Drosophila melanogaster: one gene and its partner. The protein of the gene in region 2 interacts with the protein of the main gene of each other region in a pairwise test. Each region holds a gene or a part of one and is shown on either strand. Other genes may lie near its edges. The genes, in order: Lapsyn and Regnase-1.

Evidence for each region.
Region 1: the proteins of Regnase-1 (region 2) and Lapsyn interact in a two-hybrid assay, tested with the Drosophila melanogaster proteins (one large-scale study listed by BioGRID).

Annotation. Positions count from the first base shown.
Region 1 is NT_033778.4:21,192,045-21,199,868, reverse strand, and holds Lapsyn (Leucine-rich repeat activity-regulated protein at synapses), read right to left. Parts: upstream 6,299-7,824; 5' UTR 6,003-6,298; intron 2,262-6,002; 5' UTR 2,259-2,261; coding exon 2,076-2,258; intron 1,849-2,075; coding exon 1,705-1,848; intron 1,640-1,704; coding exon 1,435-1,639; intron 1,378-1,434; coding exon 1,192-1,377; intron 1,108-1,191; coding exon 952-1,107; intron 895-951; coding exon 737-894; 3' UTR 438-736; downstream 1-437. Other genes in the region: tud (tudor), read right to left, coding at 7,743-7,824.
Region 2 is NT_033777.3:20,033,308-20,038,225, reverse strand, and holds Regnase-1 (regnase 1), read left to right. Parts: upstream 1-2,169; 5' UTR 2,170-2,307; coding exon 2,308-3,930; 3' UTR 3,931-4,036; coding exon of another isoform or gene 4,037-4,184; 3' UTR 4,185-4,345; downstream 4,346-4,918. Other genes in the region: idc (identity crisis), read right to left, coding at 4,037-4,184, 4,600-4,710, 4,768-4,902.

The DNA of each region.
Region 1 (7,824 bases), on a different chromosome or scaffold from region 2:
GAGCGACGAGACTATACAAAAGCATTTTAAGAGAACGCAGGCCGAACAAATTGTAAAGAAAAAGCCTAATAAAATCGAAATTAATATATAAATTAAAATCGAATTAATACGATTTTTTCATTAGCAATTTGGTAATTCAATTAAAATGAATTGTCGATTGAACATGGAACTGAATGCTCTAAGCCTGTAAAACCATTGCATACTTGTTGGCCGTGATGAAAAGGCTTCACCACCAAGTCGGTTGCAAAATAGCTTGCCTACTTTCAGGCTGATGCACTTTAAATTGATTTAGGACAATTTTTAAGTTAAACTAAAATAAATAAATAACGATATATTCAAATAATGTATATCTCTAATATTTTTCCTTATTCATAAAAATACATAATGTTGTTAAGAAACTAAATATCCAAGTCTAAATACAAACTCAATACAGACTTCTTCTTTAAATCAACGTTTTATTGTCATTCGTTATAAAAAATCCACTCCATTGCTGGCTTAAATCTATGTTACGTATTAAACCAAATAAATAAGCGATGGCTTTTGAGCAAGGCAATATTCTTTGATGGCGCTGTTTTTGGTTTTTGGTGATTTTGTGTGATTTTTGGTAAAGGATTCAAGGCAGTTTGCTAGGTAGACGGTTGTCCTAAGGCTAAACTAACGCATAAATGGTAGGTAATAAATAACTGGCACCTAAGACTAACTAACTAACTAAGCAACTAATTAACTAACTAAAGTGCTATTTTCGGGCAATATCACAGTGCAGAGGCTCGTCCTCCGGCTGACGGTTGTTGATGGCGTTTCTGGGCGAGATCACAAACGGCTTTCGCTTCTGGGCATTCCTCTTTCGTCGCTGGGCTCGTTTTCTCCTACAGTGTATCACGCAGAAGATGACAACTGTGGGAGGTGGGAAATGTATTTACTTATGTCGAATAGAACTAATTCGTAACTCACTTAAAAGCACAAAACAAACTCCGCCAAAGCAGCCAGCTCCAAAGAGCCAGAAGCTGCGCGTTTCGGCAAACTGCAGTGTCGTCTGGCAACTGGCGAATGTTGGCGAATGGATCGTTCGATTGTAGGGCAGTGGACACTCGCGGATGTCGAGCGCCTCTGAAAATGGAATTGCAAGTTGGTCATGTGCCAAAAATAAGCAGCTGCTCCGACTGCAGCGCCATCATCGCCATCACTACTTACCCAAGCAAACTGGCACGAACTTCGGACTGGCGCCGAGCATCATAAGATGGTTGGTGACCTGCTGGCAGCCACACTGGCTCAACTGCGACTTGGTCAGATCGATGACCTGCAGGTGGCACATATTCGCCAGGCTGTCGATCCTGAAGTTCTGCAGCGGATTCATCGAGGCATTCAGTTGCCAGAGTTCTGAAGAGAATCGTTCAATATTAGATAGATTCCATATATCTACATATCTCTGCTTACTTGGAAGTATGCCCAGATCGGGTAACTCCTGTAGCTCGCAACCTGCCACGTTCAGGTACTCCAGTGGAGCACGAATGGGCTTCTCCAGTGCCTGAAGATTGAGGGATGTTAGCTCATTGCTATCGATGTATAGGTTTCTCAGTCGCGGCAGCTGGAACAACTCCAGCGGTATCGTTGTCAGTCCATTATTCGAAAGATCAATTTCCTGGGAATTTCGATTAAGAAATTAATTAAAGACACACTCGTTGATTAATTGGATGTCGTTGTTACCTGGAGCGAGGTGAGTGGCTCGAAGGTTCCCACCTCCACCGATAAGATCATGTTATCATAGAGCATCAGAAACTTAATGTCCGTGTATCGCTGAAACGAGCTAGTTTTCAGCTTCCTGATGCGATTGTGCGATAGATCCAGAACCTGCAAAAAACATTCAGCGAATTGTCAGATCATTTAATTTCAGTAGAGAGTTTTGAATGGCATGGGTAGGGTTCCCATACACATCGACTATGCATGTCGGTGTAATGGATAAATTTATGTTTGTGGGCAACTTCTTTATTCTTTAATTAAGCTCAATTGAGGCTAACTGTGACGAGGGGCCCAGCAATGACCAAGTCTGATCGCCTGACCCCTCGATCGTTACTCACCTCCACCGAACTCTTGAGGTTCTGTGGCACCTCCTTGAGGTCCAAGTCGTAGCAACGAATCCGGAGCAGCTTATCGATATGGCCGTACGTGCACTTGCGCACTTCCGACTGAATGATGAATCCGGCGGAATGCAACAACTGGAGGCACACGATGAACGTCAGCAGCTGCCAATGCAGTTCCATGCTCTGCCAAAATAAATTAACATATATACATATAGATGAAAATGTAAATCCAAACGATGGGACTTCATTTCGGCGCTAACTTGTTTATATTCTTGATTAAAACTAGAACAATAAATTTAAGCAAACAATCGCCCATGGGCTCGTCAAAGCGTTTATTTTCGAATTAACAATTTACAAGATCATTGCCGATCGCTGGGGGTCTGGGTCTGGGTTTTGATTGGTTTTTGGGGGTGAATGCGGACTCGCATCCAAAGCTGAATGCATTCAATCAAGCGGATCTACCGCACCTGACAGATGGAATTAAACCATGGCAGCTCAGATACAGATACAGATACAAACTGAGCTCAAATTCGAAGCCTAGGTCAGCTGCTGTTGGCCTGCGTATACGCGATATTCATATTACGTATACGTAACACACAATCAGTGTCATTCCCGCTGCATTCATGCACATCAACAAAAGATGATTCCGCATTGCGGCGGCGGAAACATTTGGCGGCCCTATAATAGTAATAAAAGCAACTAGCCCGAAAAATAACTGACTCACTGCCATTTTGGGAAGCACTTGCCATTGCTCCAATATCTTATCGTGCGGCGTGTAAATCTTTTGATTCTACATCAAACAGCAAAAGGGGTAGCCATAAATCAAACAAATATTCCATTAAAATGCCTTTATGGCTCTTTTCAATATGTCAGATTCACAAAAGCATTTCCCGAAATTTGCCAAAAGCAATATAAGTGTTTTTGGTGAAAATGAAAGCCAATAATCGATTATGGGCCAGAAATAGGAATGCTTCGACGTGATTTATACCTCAGGATAAGTACATATATCTAGACATGATCTAAACATGTAAGCCCACTCGGTATGCACATTTGGGAATTGGAAATGGCCAGAATCCATTGTTAATGTCTCTGTTACGCCCCATTGAAGGGCAATTAGAAAATTGCACGTTTCCCAACTTTGTATCAGCTGGCTTTGCGTGATTTTGCATTGTGAAAAATGTGAAAATGAAAACCGAACAACATGAGTAATGTCTTGAGTATTGTAATTTTCCATTTGTGACATTCGGGCTAATTGCTGTCGCAGCTGAAGTTTTCATCATTTCGCCCAACGAAGCTGAAATTCCCGTGAAATCAATTGCGGGTCAGCAAAAGTGGATAGTTCTATTTACACGAAGCTCAAACGCTTGCTTACCAATGAATGATGAACGACGTCGTAGATATCCATCCATATTGGCAAATCACTTTGAGCCCGTCCAAGTGGCGGAATTAAGACATATGGAGCGCCCAGTTGGCCGATAAGATCTTGGCCTCTTGCAAAGGCAACAAAAGAGTGCTAATCAATTATAAAGTTAGTAACCATTCGTCGTTGCTCATACTAGCTGCGTTGGCTTGGAAAAATTTAAGTGATTCATGGTCCCCATTTAGACATCATGATTCGACCATTTATTAATTTTTGCCTATTTTCCAGCTAGCTGAAGTGTCTTGGCCTTTGACCAAAAAATGTTGCGCTCCACTTGAGAGGCATGTGCTCACGAAATGAAAACATAGAAAATGAAAAACAGTTTCTGCCAATATGTTTGCTCCACTAGCGGAAGCGTGGCGCACACTTTTGCCACCCAGTGTGGTGCGGCTACCTCTGTCATTAGAGCCGCCTGTCGAATCAGCGAAAAAACGAAGCAGAAAATATCAAAAGAAATATTGAAGCGATTTCCACACACATTCTCTTGGACTGACAGCAACCGCAACAATGGCTATAAATATATTTCATATATTTAAATTAAAATTAACCAGAAAAGCCCAAAACAGTGGCCAGAATGAGATGGCAGCATAAACAGTGGCGACCAAATGCAAACTTTTGGATTTGAGGAGATTGCATCGCATCCCCCAGCTGACTGACTTTATTATACAACTTTTGTTAGGGGGCTGGGAATTCAAGGAAATTGGCCATAAAAAGGGCTAATGCCAGGCACCAAATGGTAGATCCACTTGGCGGCTATGGCCATAAAAGTGATCCCGTCCCGCAAATCAAATGGTGAATCCGAATTAGCCTTAGATATTAGTTCTTTGCGAGTTGGAATTATTGGTTGGGGTCACAATTTATGTTTTTCACTTTCGCCGCATTTGTTCAGCTTCAATATTTATTTATATATTATACCCAATCAGGCGGCAGACCAGACAAACAATGCCATGGAAAGGCGAATGGGGTGGCAGAAATGGGTTACGGATCGGAATGGTCCAAGGCGCTAGCGATTCATTCACCCAGCTGCCCGTATCCGACTGTCGACCAACGGATTGCAGCCTGCCCGATATGATAAATATGACGAGGAGGGATTATTTATCTGTTCGCCGAGCCAAGCGATTATTGGACTAACAAAACGCAACATGAAATCGAAAATCCCCCACCACAAAAAAAAAAAATCGGAAGATAAAAAAAAAACACGAAATTAGTATCAAATATTTTAATAACATTCTAAACATTTGTGAATGGATTTATGTGCTCTTGTGATAGTTCCTGTCACACATTGTGGGCGTCGCAGAAGTAGGCATATATTATCGGCTATACCCCGTCCGATCGGCATATATATCTTTCAGCTCCACCCCCTCCCTGGCCGACCCCCAACAGGTGTGCGTGTGTGTGTGTGTGCACCGGAGGGCCCCGAGATTTATTCACATTTCTCGTTGCTACGATAAAGATTTATTTGTTTGGACTCTTCTCTCTCTCTCTCTCTCTGATGCACTGATGAAACATTGCTTTGAGACAACCTTCCCATCTGGGCTACCTTCTCATTACCACCCACCTCCCAGAAATGCCATTGGGTAACAATCATATTTTCCTCAAAAAAAACCGAAGCTTATCAGAGTACGTCAAGTGCTCTTATCGTGTAAGTCCCCATTCTGCTGATAGCTTCTTTCAAAATTATAACGGCGATGCCAAGAACAATAAAAAAAAAAATTAATTGAAACGGCCCCGTAAAGATTGGTGTAGCATAAAAGAGCGTTGTTCATTTATTTCAATTAAACACAATCAAGAAAACATTTGCCCAGGGACTGAAAAAAACAAAAAAAAAAAAAAACAAAAGTATCCAAATACAGTGACTACTCTACTTTATCGGAATGCCAGTCGAAAATATCATATTTCGATCATGTGTTTATTATTTAAGAATATGACATTTTGTATAACTTTTCTTTGTTGAGAACGTTTCCCTATTCTCGAGGCTTTGATTACTTTTCCAGAACACACTGGCTGTAAAGATTAGTCTGCGCCTTGATAAGCAGGTGTTCCCTACGTGTTTTTACCACAGTTAATTACTGAATAAACAGCCCTGCTGAAGCGTTACTTTTAGTAGATACACACAGCAAGTAGTATATAGTATATAGTGAAACTTTTATTTTATCTGCAAGATATGTGTGCTACACACACAGAGAAAGGCTCACAATTGCCGTTGTGCTGCCTCCGCTAATTGAAATCAATTTAACTTGGATTCTATCGCATTATGCTGTCGTGGAGACTCTTTTGGTTGCATATAGAGCATATAGAATCCAGAGACTGGCGCACATTTCAATGCTAAGTTTCCTGATTAGAAAATTCAATATAGCTTACACAGCTGTTGTGCAATCTAGTCGTAGTACTATGTGCACCATTCACGATAACCCGCCAGACCCCATAATACTACCATCAAGAAAGCAAAATAATCAACAAAAAAAAATCAAAAAAAATCCAAACAGATTTTTCCGTCCGCTTACCGCTGGGGAAATTCAAGTGTTCAGGTATAATCCCATTTAAAGTCGGCGATGATAATCCTAGTAAAATGGCAGGATTCTTGTTAGTTCACTACACACACATCACTCTATGCTCTTCTAGGATTCTTCGATTTTCTGTGATCTTTATATATTTTATATATATGTAATATTCAAACAGCTTTATATGTTATATTATCAATATTTTTTAGTTATGATTACGCCGTAGAATGTTATAGCAATCGTTACGGAGCGCGCACGTTGGCCGGAACCGTTCAATTCAACCGCAGACACAGAATTGAAACGATCGTTTCAGTTTTTGGCCTTTCGGACTCCGACAATCCGATCGCCCGAGCAAAGCACACCGAAAAATGCTGATAAAGCGGACGCACGCTCCCAGATGACACTGCACTGCACTGTGAAAATTCGGATGGAAAATTCGGAGTGGAGAGAGAAGCGCTCTCTTTGATAACAGCAATGGAAACTGATACACTCTGCGACTGGAAATTGAATTGTTTTCGGGATTTTGACAGTTCAAATGTGGATATTTCTGATTTGGCCGGCCACTCATTCAATTAGCAAGCGATTGATAATCGAAATTGATACAGAGGCATCTAATGAAGCATCCACGCCAGCTGACAATACAGTTGTAAACGCGTATGAATGATATCGCAACTAACTAAATGAATGTGAATGATATCGCGGATAGTCAGCAATGAGAGCTTGATCCGTATCATAAATGTGGGCAGACGACTTAATTCTCTTCTTATCAACAGGTAAAATTCCCAGGCACCCGTAGATCTCCTCAAGCACGGACATGAGCCCTGTCCGTCCGTTCGCCACTTTTCCACATCGTAATCCAATAAATCCCCGACTGACGACCGCTAATTGCTACCTGGCACCGGGTCTGGAACTCCAGGTATAACTACCAGGTAATAATATACGCTCTATATGGCATTACTTTTCATCGTATTTATTGGTTTGTTTTAATATATTGTTCACAACATGAAAAAGAAATAGTAGAAAAATATGACATTGTGATTGAAGGTTTTAATACATAAACCCATATTCCATTAGTTTCCTTTTAGTTTCCTTAAGTCTTCGATTTGCAATGTTTCTTGTTTGTTTAGGTAATGAAAAGTAAAAAAAGTACGAAAAACATATGTGATTCTTCAGTTGGTTAATCGAGAAAAGAAAGTACAAATACAGTTATAAAGGGAAAAAATAAATAATTCATCTGGAGGAGGTTTAAACTTCACTCCACTTCTCTTCAATTCGCCAACTTTCGTTGATGATGTAAAATTGTTTTAAACAAGGTTGAGCAATTAAATAAATCGTCATCCGCCTTAATAGCTACTAACATATATAGGTTAGTGCCAATTTTATCTAGATTACATTTTTTTTTAAAGTTTTTTTCAATATTTTTCGTTTGTTTTTATACATTTTTTTTCAATGATTTTTCGTTTTTTTTTTTGTTCGATTTTTTTTCGTTTTGTTGTGTTTTTGGTGATAATGTTTTGCATTCCGTATTGATTCTTTAATTAATATTAAAAATTGCTTTCATTTTGGTTTTCCATGAAAAGTCAATGAAGCATCTTGGCTAATCGTGTGGTGTCCTCCTCTTCCCTTTGAATAAGTTTAACTCGTTCAACTTAATGGATAATACATCGCATGTTTTTAGCCAACCCAATCACAATCTCCTGCATGGAGCACATATGAGTCCGATCTGACTGTACAACGGGGTGATCACTGACATTCCTGAAGCTTCTCGCTGATGTTCTTGCTCTGGTAGAAGAGTCGTACGACATGGGTGCCAGTTCCCTTGGTG
Region 2 (4,918 bases):
CTCTGTGGGATCTGCTTTTTTTTGGGATTGGGTTCAAGACCGTGTCCCGAGGCCGTAATAATAAAAACAGTAGCGGAAACTGGGTGCAGTGCACGCGAACAAAGCGTTGAGGAACAATAAGGGAAATCGCCCAGCGATTTCGTGGTAGCAAAGCGATTCCAAGGGAAATAGGCAGAAGATAAAGGCCAGAAAGAGTTGGCATTAAACTAGAGCAAAATGAAGCACATTTAAAGGCCTCTAACGGCAAACGTAGCTGTGGGCATAAATTAAAGCTCTTGTCAGGCGAAAGGCTCCACAGAAATAACCATCTCACATCCTGAAATCGACAAAAAAACCAACACACATCCGCCTTTTGCCAATGTGTCGGGAACTCATGGTTAATCAGCTTAGACAACCTCCGTCATCGGGTTCGAGGCATTTTGTTGTTTTGCCTGCTTTTTTGGGCACATCAAGAGGCCTAAGAGCAAACAAATAACTCGAGTTCGGTGGCCAAGGGGGCTTTTTTCCCTGGAAATGCTTTTAAAAATTAAACAACTGATAAATGACAAAGTTCGTTGGACCAGAAATTATCGTTTGACAAATTGGCAGGCCCCGATGAGAGCTCATCTATTGCCTGGCAACCACGTGGTGAGCAAGTCCTTTTAAGATCCTGCAGATGAAGAGCACTTACGGCGGAGCCAGACGAATTACTAGTGACCAAATGGTTCTATTGACTTGGAAAATTAACTAAGAGAAGATTTTGCGTTGAAGGATTTACGATGAAGGACTTAAAGTAAGGTCGCGAATATTTTCTTTGTTCTCTGTCCTATATGATTTCTTTTATGGCTTTATTATATTTTCCAAGATGTTTTTTGTTCACTTGCGCTGGTATTCAAGTTTCTTTAACCTCTTTTATTGTTACGCTCTGCAACACAAAACTTTGACCACAAACCCGTACACAAAAGTTAACTTGACACTCAACCACCGAAATGTAGTTAAATAGTGCATCATCAAAAAAATAGACAAGGATTCAGAGTACGGTAAGGAAAAGGACTTTACTAATTATCCGTTAAGCAGGAAAAATGCCAGCAGAAAAATCCAAACACGCTCAAAGAGCAACAATAAATTTTACGACGGCCATAATAAAAAAAGATTGGAGCACAAATTTTAGCACTTGTCGTGTGTCTGAGTCAGGAAAAATAGAGTTTCGCAAGGACTCGCCACTCAAAATGCATCCTTATCCTTTAAGGGAAACTCACTTTCCCTGCGTGCGAAGAGAATGACTCGTTGCTTTTTAAGCGGACCCATATAGTATACATATAAAGCCACCCCAAAAAGAATCCTCCCATGGCACACGTAGCAAACTTTACGTCCACTTTTATAGTTTTTTTATGTAGCGCTGTCCCACTAATTGCCACATGACTTGGCCAAAGATGACAGGACGCTGCAGGACGAAAGGAAATTAATGAAATTACTTTAGTGTCGCCGGAAGGAGGGGGCGTATTGCGTATTGTATATGCATTTATCCAATTGCACTTCGATCGTAGCATATAGATATCTATGTAACCATGATAGATGTGACCACTTATACCTAGTAAATTATTGAATTTGTGGCCAACTCGAGGCAGTGCATCCTTTTTGTCATGAAAAGGGGGACCAAACGTACAATGAAACAAAGAATTCAATACGAAAAACATGTACTTTATTTTAACTAATTAAATCGAACTAAGTGAGATCTATAAATGTTGATAGTAGAAATTGTTAAAACTATATTCGAAATACTTTATGTACAATAAATACAATAAAGAAATGTTTATGCATGTTACTAAATCGAAGCTGGTGTTTTATTTAAAAGTTGGGTAGTGTAAGGTTGGAACTAGCAAGTATTATAATAGAATAAATATAAATTTTATATACTTAAATTTTTCTATACGTTTTTGTATGGAACACGTATGTAAATACGTTTAATTGCAAGATATTCTGGCAAAGATTAAAGATTCGTTATTATGTATTAAACATACATATCTGGCGGGCATTTTAAATCTGAATAAGAGGAAGATGAATCCGTTTCCTGTTCTCCAAATTAGTGATGAGCGTATCTTATGGCGCCTAGCTCTACTACAATCGATACCAAGGCGGCAATGCTGTTTTGCTAACCAAAATGTTCGATACAATTCATCGATAAGACCGTGAATGGGCAACCCAGCTCTAGTCTGTAAATGTAAATAGACGGAACTTGCTGCAGAGAACAGCTAAAAACGCAAGGAAGCGGGCAAAACAAACAACAGGAGCGAGCAGCCGAGGGAAAGCCAGCCGCTGGTCAGTTAGATGCGCATCAAGATGGATTGCGAAGTGCAGGAGCAACACAAACAGCAGCAACAACAACAGCAGGTCCACCAGCAACAACAAAAACACGGCAGCAGCAACAAGTTGCCAGTGAGAAAGCAGGAAAGCTGCTCCGACGACGATGAGAGCCAGAGTCCCAGCCGCACAACGGAGCGCCAGAACCTGGAGTTCGCCAAAAAGCTAGGCTACAGCGAACAGTCCATCCATTCGGCGCTGACGCGCCTCGGCTCGGAAGCCAAGCAGAACGAGCTGCTGGCGGAGCTGATCAAGCTGACGGCCGATGCACCGCGGCCCGCCCACATAGGCGGAGGCGGCAGTCCATCCAGCATGACCAGCACTCTGTCCTCCCCGACCGGCGGTAGCAACAGCTCTGGCTTGAGACACATCGTAATCGATGGCAGTAATGTCGCCCTTTCTCACGGCAACAATCTAGTATTCTCTTGCCGCGGCATTCGCATCTGTGTGGACTGGTTCCGGCAGCGTGGCCATCGCGACATCACCGCTTTCGTGCCCAACTGGCGCAAGGAGATGGCGAACAACAACATAGCCGACCAGGAGCTGCTCTACGAGCTGGAGCACGAAAGATACCTGGTGTTCACGCCATCGCGACATCTGGATGGCAAGCGTGTGTCCTGCTACGATGATCGCTTCATACTCAAGCTGGCAGTGGAAACTGACGGCATTGTAGTCTCCAACGACAACTACAGGGATCTGATCCTGGAGAGTAACGAGTTTAGGCGCGTGGTGCAGGAGCGCCTGTTGATGTACTCTTTTGTAAATGACATCTTCATGCCACCCGACGATCCGCTGGGCAGATCGGGTCCAAATCTGGACCTCTTCCTGTGCTCGCAGACGCAGCAGAAAATGGCGGATGCGCAGCAGTTGTGTCCGTACGGCAAGAAGTGCACCTACGGCCAGAAGTGCAAGTTCCGGCATCACAATCAGGCGCCACTGCTGCAGCGCCTCCCGCTGCAGGCCTCCCACAGCGCGCCCCTGCACACGAACGGTGGCCAACAGTTGGTCAGTCCGGGTGGCAATAATAACAATGTTAAGATCAACTCACTGATTAGCCGGGAGCCGCTGGGGCGCACCAAGTCAAATACCATCGAGCAGGTATGTCAGGGCTTCTCCGCTCAAATGGATCTTTCAGAGGGTGCCGTGGAATCCAGCCAGCCCAATCGCCACAAGAAGCTGCAGCGCCAACAACCGCCGCCCGCCTACCGCCTGCTGGTGCCCACCTACAGTGCTCCCCTCCAGCAACAACAACACCAGGCACAGCAGCAGCATCAACAGTCCAACTCCAGCACCAACTATCACCACCAGTATCTGACGCGCACGCCATCCGCCCCGGTCACGGATCAGGGACTGGGTCTGCCACTGCCCGCTCACAACTTCGCCCATCTGTCTGCCTCCGATTCGCGCATCAACGAGGAGCTGCACGCCTCGCAGCAGCTTCCGCGGGAGGAGCAGCGCCGATTGCTGCGCTATCACCTGGGCAGCCTTTTCCCACCGCACCAGGTGCATGCCGTACTGCAGCTCTATCCGGAGGAGACCGACGCCAAGACCATATGCGCGGCTATTCTTAATTTATTTCCGCATAATTAGGCTAGGCTTAAATTTCATCAATATAATTAGATGTGTAATTACACGCGTGTTTCTGCTTAAAGTGTAAAGTGTCGCTTTGGGACGACGTGGAGTCCTCGCTCGAAATTTACATATCCAGGCCAACGATGTTGGCCGTGTCGTAGGACACCAGCCCGGCTACGGATTCCCGTGCGGACTGGCCGCGCCTCTCGTGGATGACCCGGTGGTTACGCAGTTTGTACGCCTGCGGGAATCCCTTGCCGCACACATCGCAGCTAAAGAGAGAGAGCAAACGTGTTTTAAATTGATTAGAATCCTTGATTAATTTATGTCTTCCTTATAACTTATAATATTTAAACACTAATACTTCATTCCCTGTTTATCTAATGTTATTTACGCCTCAGGCACCTAATAAACAATCAACTAAACTCAAAATATTAATATACTACGTAATATTCGTAAACAATAATCTTTTGAAACAGCATGGCTCTTTCAAAATAGTTTCCACTGTGAATTGTACATTCTTATAGAATAAAAAGTATATTTTTATAAACGATTTCCATCTCTCTATATCAAAAAAAAAACTCAATCTGGTTCTGAAGCTAGTGTATGCATAAACAATCTGTGAAACAGTGAAAGTTCGTGCTAGAGAATACGGACTGTAACCGCCAGGGGGAAAGCGAAACTTACACGTGCGGCTTCTCTCCCGTATGAATCATTTTGTGGAACTTCAAGGTGTTGGTGTAAGTGAATGTCTTGTGGCAAACATCGCACTCGTAGGGTCGCTCGTTGGTGTGGATTCTGCAAACGGGTAATTATTCAATCAAATCGGGTTTGGATTGGAGCTCACCAACTTACCTGTGGTGCTTGTTACGCGTGGACAAGTCGGCGAAGGCTGCCGGGCAATAGCTGCATTTGTACGGCCGATTTCCGGTGTGGGTGTTCATGTGGCGTGCCAGCTGCTGAGCCTGGGCGAAGCAATGACCACAGATCCTGAAAAATGAGATTT